Schizosaccharomyces pombe: one gene and its partners. Changing the gene in region 3 together with the main gene of any one other region gives a genetic interaction. Each region holds a gene or a part of one and is shown on either strand. Other genes may lie near its edges. The genes, in order: sec28, rdl1 and jmj1.

Region 1 (3,593 bases), on a different chromosome or scaffold from region 3:
CTATCACCGTGCTGGTGCCAAGCACGTTGAAGATGCCATTGAGGCAGCACTTCGTGGAAAGAAGGTCTGGGAATCCTTACCTTTTGCTGACCGTTCTGCCATTTTCTTGAAGGCTGCTCATTTGATAAGCACCAAGTACCGTTACAAGCTCATGGCTGCTACAATGATTGGCCAGGGTAAGAACATCTGGCAAGCTGAAATTGACGCTGGAATGGAGATCATTGACTTCCTTCGCTTCAATACCAAGTATGCTAGTGAATTATATGCCAGCCAACCTCCCGAAAACACTCCTGGTGTCTGGAACCGTATGGAATATCGTCCTTTGGAAGGTTTCGTTTATGCCATTACTCCTTTCAACTTTACAGCTATTGCTGGTAACTTGGCTGCTGCCCCCCTTCTCATGGGCAACGTCGTTTTAATGAAGCCTTCTGACCATGCAGTCCTTTCTAGCTACATTGTTTACCAAATCTTCCGTGAAGCTGGTCTTCCCGCTGGAGCACTTCAATTTATCCCTGGTGACGCTGTTGAAGTCTCCAAGGTTTGTTTCAACCACCCTGAGTTTGCTGGTCTTCATTTTACTGGTAGCACAGCCGTCTTTCGTAGCCTTTGGGGAACAATTGGCGAGAATGTTGCCAACGGAAAATACCGCACTTACCCCAAAATCGTCGGTGAGACTGGTGGTAAGAACTTTCATCTTGTACATTCTTCCGCTGAAATTAAGAGTGCCGTTGTTAATGCTGTTCGTGCTGCTTTCGAATATCAAGGCCAAAAGTGCTCTGCCCTTTCTCGTCTTTACGTTTCTAAGTATGCTTGGGAAAATGGTTTCCGTGATGAGCTTACCAAACAGGTCAAGTCTCTTAAGGTCGGTGCTCCTTTAACTGATTTTGCTAATTTTGTGGGCCCTGTTATCCATCAAGCAAGCTTTAACAAACTGAAGAAGGTTCTTGAGAGTGCTGCTTCCGATTCTGAAATTGAAGTTTTGGCTGGCGGTAAAGCTGATGATTCCGAAGGTTTCTTTGTTGAACCTACCGTTTTACTTTCTAAAAACCCTAAACATGATATATTCGTTAACGAATTGTTCGGCCCCGTACTGTCTGTTTATGTATATGAGGATGACAACTTAGACGCTGTTTGCGATCTCATCGATACTACCACTCCTTATGGTTTAACCGGATCCATCTTCGCTCAGGACCGTGTTGTTGTCAGAAAGTTGACTGACCGTCTCCGTAATGCCGCTGGTAACTTCTATATCAATGATAAGTGTACTGGTGCTGTTGTTGGTGAACAACCTTTTGGTGGTGCTCGTGCCAGTGGTACTAACGATAAAGCTGGTAGCGGAATGATTCTGTCTCGATTCGTTTCTCCTCGCTCCATCAAAGATACGTTTGCTTATGCAGACTCTGTTTTATACCCTTCCAACTTTTAAGTTTGTTTTGGCCTTTTTGATTTGGATTTAATTTTTAGAATTTAGATAGACATTGGAGTTGTAGAGTGTTTTACTCTGTACTTTGATACTGCCATAAAAAAGACCACAACCTTTTTTTTTTTGGGTTTAGTACAATATGTGAGGAATAAAGGAAGTATATATATATATATATATTGATTAGTTACCTTGAGTTAAACTCAAACTTTCAAAGGTAGTCTAGGTTTTACAATTTTTTTTTTTCTTTTTTTTTAAAGCTCGCCATTTGTTATTCTAATAAATTATAATGTTCGCTTTGTTAACATGTATTGATTTATAACACTAGATTTGTTGCATTGTATATAAAAGCCAGTGGACCAAAATGTAGTTTGCTGGTGATTCTTGAATACAACAACGACCTGTAGAAAAAGGATCTCAATTATCGAACATTTTACTTGCTGACTGCGAAATATATTATATTAGGCTTCGGAGCAATTAGAAAAATTACAAGTCTTGATGGAAAGTTCGTTTGCTTTACATTTTGTTGTAGGGTTACTCATGTACAAACACCATTAACCCACATACTCTCTACTCCACACATCGCCCAACATAATTAAAACTTTTAACATGTTTTCATGGGAGGCTAGTTTATCTAATGGTAAGAGATGAGTTGGGAATTAAATAACAACTAATATTTGATAGAACTGTATTTTGTTCGTCAATACTTTTATAGTGGAAACTATACAAAGTTATTTGAAATTGACACGACATCCATGTCTGAAAAAGGTCTTGAATTGACCGAAATTTATATGGCAAGGGCAAAATTAGCTTTAGGTGAAAGTTTAGAATCAATCCAAAGTATTTTAACTCAAAAAACGCCTGGATCAGCTGCTATTCTGGCGCTGGCTGGGGAGGGGAACATGGAGTTAATTATTGACCAGCATGGCAATTCAGACAGTGTGGTACAAACATTAGGAGCTATTTTTCAAATTAAAAATGGTTCTTTTGATGATGCAATGGATTTATTAAAGAAGTCAGTAGAGAACTTGGAGGCGGTGGCGCTTCAAGTATACATTCATTTACGAGAGCACAAAATTGAAGCTGCTGAACAGACATTGAAACAGGCTTTGGATTGGGCTGATGAAGAAATTGTACTACAGCTGGCACAATCTTGGATTAAAATAGTTAGTGGAGGCGTCGAATCCTATAATGATGCATTTTATGTTTTTGAAGAGTTAAACGGAACTGATAGCAATCCAATGACTTTAACTGGTATGGCGTGTGCAGACATATGCTTGTTGAGACCTGAAGAGGCTTTGAGCTCGCTGAAAACTGCCCTCGATTCTCAACCAAATTACGAGGAGGCACTATCAAATATGACTACTGCAATCACGGATTTAGGCCCTGATGCTCCTTCTCAAGCCAAGAATATACTTTCATCTTTTACAAATTCTTCTACACTGAAGTTGAACGATCATTTAAATGAAAAGGCGCAAGAATTTGATACTTTTTCAACTCAATTTTTGAGTACGGCTTAATCCAATAATAATATTGTTTAGAATCTTCAATCCATTAATAAACTTCAAATGTTTGCATTTTTAGTATTTATTCATTGACTATTGCTTCACTCAAGTAATGGCTCGTTGATCTGTCTGGCAAAGCAAGTCAATCCAGTATTGCCTCGATAAATTTCAAGTTTACCAGAAGTAAAGGTATTAAACTAATTAATTAGAAATACTTAACCGCATGCAGAAGAAGACTCATGTAGACATAATAACAAGAAAACGCACCCGAATATATCTCGAAATGAAACATTTAAATGAACGCCGTCACAACAGGAGCGTCTTTAAACCGTTTACTTTTATTTATCAAATACATTCATTAATTAAAAATGAACTATTATGACTATCCACCTATATATTTGTTTTTAAAAATCTAGAATAGGTGGTTCTTGTCCAAAATTACTCAAAACCTGCAGTGCCACAAAATGACAAGCAACAAGTTTGCCTTTACAAATAGAAAAGAAAGATGTTTTGAAATACACAGGTGTTTGGAATTTGGAAAAAGCAAGAAAACCGATATTAAACGATAAGACTTTAAGAATCGAAGATGAACTTGCTCAAACGGCAGTGGCACCATGACAGATTACAACTATATATGCCAACATTTGCTTAACCCCAACATGTATCAA
Region 2 (3,426 bases), 520 kb from region 3:
AGACGCACGAAGCTTTTATGCAGAACGGTCAAAAATTGTACACGTTGCAGGTTTGACCAACGATGTAACACAGCTCGAGTTGGAAAGTTGGTTTACTAATCATGGGGTTCATCCCGTAGCTTTATGGACTTTAAAGACTCCCGAACCTTACAAATCTACGGGTACAGGTTTTGTGCTATTTGCTAGTCATGAAGATGCTGCCGATGCTCTTGCCTTTAATGGATATTGCTTAGGAGATCGGATGCTGGAAATTATTCCCAGTAGTACAAAGGTTTTAGATAAAGCTTCAGACATTCTAATTCCTTTTCCTTCTAGTAAGAATCGCCCACGCCCTGGGGATTGGAATTGCCCAATGTGCGGTTTCAGCAATTTTCAACGTCGAACGTCTTGTTTCCGATGCTCATTTCCTGGTCCTACTCATGTTTCAGCTGCTACTGGTAGCAATACTTTTTCACCTGATTTCCCTTATGGAAATTCATACGGCAACGGCTCCTCTCACTTTATTGCCAACTATGGTGGATCTGTCCATCATTCTAACGAAAATACCATGCAAAGTGATCTTCAGCATCAGAATGGCAATAATGCTGTAAATCATCATCATTCTTCACGCTCATTCGGTGGTAATGTCCCTTTTCGTGCTGGTGATTGGAAATGTGGCTCTGAGGGTTGTGGATATCACAATTTCGCAAAAAATGTTTGCTGCTTACGCTGTGGGGCTAGCCGTGCTACAGCTGCAGTCGTAGCAGATCATGCATCTGGGCCGGTGAATGGTTCGTATAGTCATAATTCATATTCTCACATCCCCCCTGTTATGAGTACAAGTCCTCCTAATCATTCGGTGTATCCTTACTCACAACTTTCTATAAATTCAGTAACGGCTAATCATGGTCAAAATTTTGGGGGACAAAATGGTGGTAATGTATCTAGGTTCGATGATCATGGACGCTTTAAAGAAGTATCACGTCCTTCCGTTACTACTGATCAAGGCGATTGGTTATGTGAGTGTGGATTTACTAATTTTCGTCGCCGCAGTAATTGTCTCCGTTGCAATGCTCCGCATTACTCTAATATGCAGATTCCTGCATCCTTGCCTTCGGATTTCAATGCTTACGTGTAAAGTTGGACAATTATATTTAATGGATAGGTCCCGTAGTACAAAGGATATTTGGTAAACACTATAGCTAAAAATGCAAGTGATTAGTGCGATAAAAATAATCACTTATGTCTTGAAGGAGCAAATTTGATGAAACAATTGTTATTATTTAAAGGCAGCATTTTGAAAAGCAACTCTATTGGAACAAAAATTTAAAAGTTGTATTGGGTTTTCTTATGAAGGTTTTGCATAAACATTGAATTACAGGTGTGGTCAAAATTAGTTCATAATTTTCTTTGGTGGGTTTTTTTCTTCTATTTAGTGCTATTTAATTTTTGACCTTGAAGAAATTTTCGGGGAAAAAACAGCAGTCAATCGTATAGAGCTCTCCCATATTTGGGATTTGGGGATTCATTTGTTTTGGAGTGTCACACTCATTGAACGTTTGAAAAAATGGTTGTTTACCTCTTACAGTTGTCAGTGCTGTTCAAATTTATAGGGTTCTTCGGTAAATAATGTATTGTTAATATTCCTTTTTTTTATTATATAATTTATAAAAATTTTGTAACGATAATGATTAAATCAATCGATACATGAGGTTACTTGTAATACATGGCATTATTAGAGAGAATTAAATTCGCATATGTAGCATTTAAAAACAGTTAGTTGATGCTTTTCTATTTTTTCTTTTTATTCTTAAAGGGTTATTCTCAATATATACAAATCCACACCAGTGTGGCTATATACTGTACTCGAATGTTGACGACCTTTCTGCTTCTTTAATCCATACCCTAATTAAATATAATCCATGTAGATAGTTCAACAAAAAACATGAGATAAGATTCAACACACACTCATGATTAGTTAAATACTTGTTGAACATTCCGGAAATTTTTGACGATTGTACGTATCTTTTCCTTCAACGCATTTGGGTGTTTATCTCTTTTAGAATGCCATTAGCATAACCAGGGGATGATTGCAAAAATCAATTTCATTGATCATCAATATCGTTGGAAAAAACAATTCTATCGAAAGTTTAAAGCATACCAAGCAAATTCTTAAAGCAGCTTATATATTTTCTGACATTATGAATCAGGTTACTCAATTTAGTGGAAATTCTGCAAACTTGATGCTTTACTGGATTCTAAAAAGTTATTACTCTAGGTTTGATAGAATTATGTGGATTGATACTTTAGGTACTTTCAATCCGGCTGCACTCCCTCTTCCATGTCTTGAAAAAACTATGTTGGTTAGATCATTCGATGCTCAGGGATTGAAGGATGCAGTTGATGAGTTGGAAAGCAATCTCAAAAGCTCCGAAGATCAAGCATATGCATTGTGTATAGATTCCTTTTCTAATCCCATTGGTTTGTTAATGGCTCAGGGCAATATATCTTTTGCACATGCATTCATGATGACTTTAGGAAGAAAATGCCGAATCCTTACCAGAAAATTCAGATTAGCAGTATACTTATCTACTTCTCTTGTGTACATAAAGCAACTCCACCTTTCCAAACCAGCGCTGGGAAACAGCTGGCCATTTTGTCTTGACCATTCATATATTCTAGAAGATCAACAGCATAATAAATGTTTAGTACATTGCAACCAAAGTCGTAAAGATTTACTAGGTTGCTCACAACTTTTTTTACTCCTTAAAGGTTCGTTTACTCACGAATATTTGACTATTGATTTCTACAATGGTACACCTGTCTCTGTTTCATCTAAATTGCATGTATCACCAAGTCTGTATCACTCATCTACGCTCAACAGTCCATCATGAGTATACTACCCCAAAATATCAAAGTTTAAAAAATATGTAGATGACTTATTAAGGATTTATTTAATGATATTGTTTTTTATACATTCAATAAAAATCTGTAGATAACACTTCTAAATAAAGAATTAAAACTAACATATATAAAAAGAATATTGCACAAAATCGAAATCATATTTGATAGGCCAAACGATCATTGTCAATATCAAACTTTCGCTACAAATTTAGAGGTATAGAGAGGCCGAAAATATGATATCACGATGCAACTTTTGTTCAGTCAACACACTCTTCTCTTTCAATTCATTATTGCCTAATACAATAGCAGCATGTTCAAGTTGTTTTAACAACTCATCTAATCTCCTGAACGTTCGAACAATTGAACCTTCATAAAGCTTGGAGACAATGCATATTTCTTGAAACGAGGCTCCATTGATCCATAAAGATACAGGCTCCATAATGTCAGGCTTAAACTGATGGAGGTAGTCGCTTTCGTTAAATTGAAGCTTACTTTCTAACGAAACGGTTGCTATGCGCTTTGCTGCTTCAATAATCGTTAGAT
Region 3 (3,759 bases):
AACACCAGTGTCTTAAGAGTTTTTACAGCATACATCAATTATAAATTTATAACTTAAGCAACATCTCTCGGATATTGTTTACTAAAGTAATTTTTTTAATTTTTATTTTACATATCTAAATCTATCTATATTACTGGTAAACTAATTATATGGATGGTATTTGTCTGGGGAAACCATTGCATGAGAATGATACAAAGACGTAAGCAAAATTGAAGAAAGCAGACGCAGAATGAAAAAAACATCATTTTAAAAGGAGTTTAGATGAGTAGTACTATTCTTTAAAATCACCGAGAGATTTAAAGATCGTGACAATCGATGAAGGAGGAGAACCAGAATCGAAGGTGCTGCCGGGCTCATCATTTAGTAAAATATTTTTTAAAATTGAATACTCCCATGATAATGGAGGAAGAAACTCAGGTTGTATGGGCCATTTTGAGAAGTATTCAGAACTATGTAATATTGCATCCCTTCGTTTGAGCTGATGTTTGATCATACCCCAAAATCGACGCCAACACCAACCGTAGTTTGCTTCCACCACTTCTGTAACAACCTGAGAAAATCTGTCCTTTGTTACGATTCCATCCTCCAGCAAATCCTTGAGAGACTCTGCGGAAACTTCATACTGCTCTTTTAATGCGGTGTACATTTGTAAAATGCAAGATGCATTACACCAATTATGGTTGATAGAGAGTGTAGTTCCAATATTTAAAACCTGATGATACCAACCACTTGGAACAAACACTGTTTGTCCAGGATATTGGAAGAGAATTTTTATCAAATGTCGATGATTTACAAGTGGACCTCTAAATAAATCATCTTTTGTGATCCATGAAGGTAATTGCTGGTCATCATAAAGGGAGGCAATCGTTTGAAGGTCTTTGGGATCGATAAAAAGCCAGCATTTCACACCGCAGAGATTAACAGAGAAGGAGTGGCTAGCATAGACATCGGTGTGTAGGCCAGTAGTCGTTAAATGACTACCTAAATATGCGAAACGGAAATCATCGGATTCACAATCAATCACGTATGCATTTAACCAGTCGTCGGCGAAAATGTCCGGAGTACTGTAAGGAAAATCGGCAGGGTCTAGATGTCGAAACAAGTGCATATCCTTGGCATATAAGGATTTCAAAGCCTGATTACTTGGAGCCTGCCGGCATTGTAGTTGGACCTGTTCATCGCGAAGTTCATGAAGTGCACTCTTCAAGGGAACTGTTTCACGACGTTGAGATCCATAACGATCTTTTTCATTGCAATAAGCCAATGGTACAGGAATCGTTCCGTAATTTTCTTCTAAGTATTCATAGTTTGGCGATAACAATAACGAATCCAAAAACACATTTTTATCCTCATTATTCACAATCCTTTCTGCATATGACCTAATGAAATTCTTTATATCATTGTCGTTTAGTAGTGAATTCCCACTAGTGTTGTCTCTAGAAGTACAAGGTTTGTCAGGTAGAATGTAACTATGCAGGATATTAGGATCACCCTTACTAGTTATCCACGTAGTATTTGCTTTCCATTGAGCAGTAAGCTTCGGTCCAATAAGTACGGGAACGCAAGGTTTTAGATACTGCTCAAGGAATACCTGGTATGGGCATGAATCTATGAACTCGATTTTCGGTAAGTCGTCAAACTCATGAGCAGTGGGACGATACACCATCGTGATGAACTTGATGATTCATTTAGTGGAGAAAGTGTATATGTAATTTACGTAACAAAATGTTGTTTTTTCGCTAGTAAAATGACCAGCGGGTGTAGCTATACGATGACGATGATAAATTGACTGAGGTTACGGAAGGATAAATGGATGATGGATCACGACATCACGAAGTTGGTGTTAAGTAAAAAAAAAAAAAAAAAAAAGAAGGGATAAGAAGAATGGAAAATGCTATTTACCGTCTGACCTCAATTTTCATATGAAAATAGCATCAGATAGTCAGATAAGGTGAGTACTCCTTACGCTACAGAGAGTGAGTATATTTATTGGAGTGTGTATTTGTTTGCCAAAAGTTTATGAAAACTACCAAATAATAAAATTAATTTATTTAACTGAATGCAAGAATAAAAATAAAAATAAAGCAGAAATCGGATATCTATCATTTAAACTCAGACATTCAGGAAACGAGCGAGATAATATGCCCGTACCAAGGTTTACAAGTTAAATAAGAATCACAGAGGTAAACATTAGATTATACACTGAATGTGAACGCAAAGATTTATCTATACTTTCGAGGAAGTAAGGATGATAATTATTATCTTTTTTTTTTTTTTTTTTTAAAAAGCCATACTACAAGTGTAGACATCATCAACTCGGTCCAAGTTTTACTGTTGCAAAATCTATTTTTATAAAATGAGAATTTATAGTAATATTGAAAATAAAAAAAAAAATAAAAACAAAGAATGGAAATAAAGCAAAAAAAAAAATTTCTAATGAAATAGAATGGAGATAAAAAAACCATTATTGAAGAAATTTCATAAAATTTTTTTTTCTACTGGTAACCCGTGTTTACATTCGCTAAACATACACTTTGTAAATGGAATCCCCAACAAGCTTCATACATAATTATGACAATAACTGACTTCGTCATTTCTCGCTACGCACTTCGAACTGTAACCAAGTTCACCACCAAAATGCTAGTGATGTATGACGCAGATGGTTAGTATTGGAAGATCTGTAAATAGTGATATCAGCAGGCTGAAATCGATCATGCCAATTTGTTAACAGAGGGAACTTAGAGATCAAAGTGAAGAAAGTTGTCGTACGTGGTTTAATTCAAGAGTGGCGATCAAATAAAGAAAACGCACATTGCATGATGAAGAAATTCGTCAGTGCTTTGCAACAGTTCATAAATGGAGAAAGGTTTTTTTATTTATAAATAGGGATATTCCTCCATCGATATTCGCAAAATAAATTCGAATCTTGAAAAGTAAATATTATTCTACTTACAATACTACAAATATTTTCATAAAATGTCTTACCAACAACGTGCAAACGATTCTATGAACTCTGCTAAGCAATACAGCTCAAGCGCTGGTGCTGTCCACAACAGTGATGAGCCCTTCTCTTCTAGTGGTGCCCCTCAAAATCGCAACTTTGACACCTCTTACACATCTGAAATTCCCAGCAATTCTAGTCGTGCTGCTAACGACATGGGAACAGACATTGGATCCGGGGATCCTTATGCTGGAATGACTAGCGACACTAAGAAGGGATTCAATAGTGTCGAGTCACGTAAGAAGGAACAATCAGATGTCCGTGGAGGTGATACCTCTTACTCGAGAAGACACGATGATTCTTCTTACTCTTCTAACAAGTACTCTACAGGAGGCAATGACAGTTATTCTTCCGGCGGACGCAACGAGGATTACTCTACCAGCGGAGGTAGTTACACCACCGACCCTAGTCGTACAGATGATACTGCATCTTACGGCCAAAGCCAATACAACCAAAGTCGTAAAACCACCCAAGGTGGTGACTACGGTGAAGATTACAGTCAAAGTTACCCCACTGATACCTATGGCAGTCGCCAAAAAGCAACTCCTTCTGACACAGTCGGTGGTGGTGCCTATGATTATTCAAGCTCTGGCTCCCATACCCATGGTGGTTCTCATGGTACTGAGCATCGTGGAGGCTCCTATGGCAACGACAATACTGCTAACAAGACCAGAGGCGCTGTTTCCTCTGCTGGTTACAGCGGTGAGGGATATGGCAAAGGTACCTATGCTACTGATACCACTGCTGAAGCTAATCGC

Evidence for each region.
Region 1: mutations in jmj1 (region 3) and sec28 together harm fitness less than expected from each alone (positive genetic interaction), as found in Schizosaccharomyces pombe (one large-scale study listed by BioGRID).
Region 2: mutations in jmj1 (region 3) and rdl1 together harm fitness more than expected from each alone (negative genetic interaction), as found in Schizosaccharomyces pombe (one large-scale study listed by BioGRID).

The regions. Positions count from the first base shown.
Region 1 is NC_003423.3:2,325,477-2,329,069, forward strand, and holds sec28 (coatomer epsilon subunit protein), read left to right. Parts: upstream 1-1,997; 5' UTR 1,998-2,029; coding exon 2,030-2,060; exon of another isoform or gene 2,061-2,104; coding exon 2,105-2,940; 3' UTR 2,941-3,025; downstream 3,026-3,593. Other genes in the region: put2 (delta-1-pyrroline-5-carboxylate dehydrogenase), read left to right, coding at 1-1,426. UniProt on the Schizosaccharomyces pombe protein: The coatomer is a cytosolic protein complex that binds to dilysine motifs and reversibly associates with Golgi non-clathrin-coated vesicles, which further mediate biosynthetic protein transport from the ER, via the Golgi up to the trans Golgi network.
Region 2 is NC_003424.3:2,007,596-2,011,021, reverse strand, and holds rdl1 (RAD51D-like protein 1), read left to right. Parts: upstream 1-1,874; 5' UTR 1,875-2,180; coding exon 2,181-2,873; 3' UTR 2,874-2,926; downstream 2,927-3,426. Other genes in the region: RNA-binding protein involved in heterochromatin assembly Dri1, read left to right, coding at 1-1,117; exosome RNA helicase subunit Mtl1, read right to left, coding at 3,092-3,426. UniProt on the Schizosaccharomyces pombe protein: Involved in homologous recombination where it functions at an early stage of recombination in a pre-recombinogenic complex with rlp1 and sws1. Also has a role at a later stage of recombination in association with the rhp55-rhp57 complex.
Region 3 is NC_003424.3:2,523,824-2,527,582, reverse strand, and holds jmj1 (histone demethylase Jmj1), read right to left. Parts: upstream 1,780-3,759; 5' UTR 1,667-1,779; coding exon 272-1,666; 3' UTR 73-271; downstream 1-72. Other genes in the region: protein Ddr48, read left to right, coding at 2,977-3,759.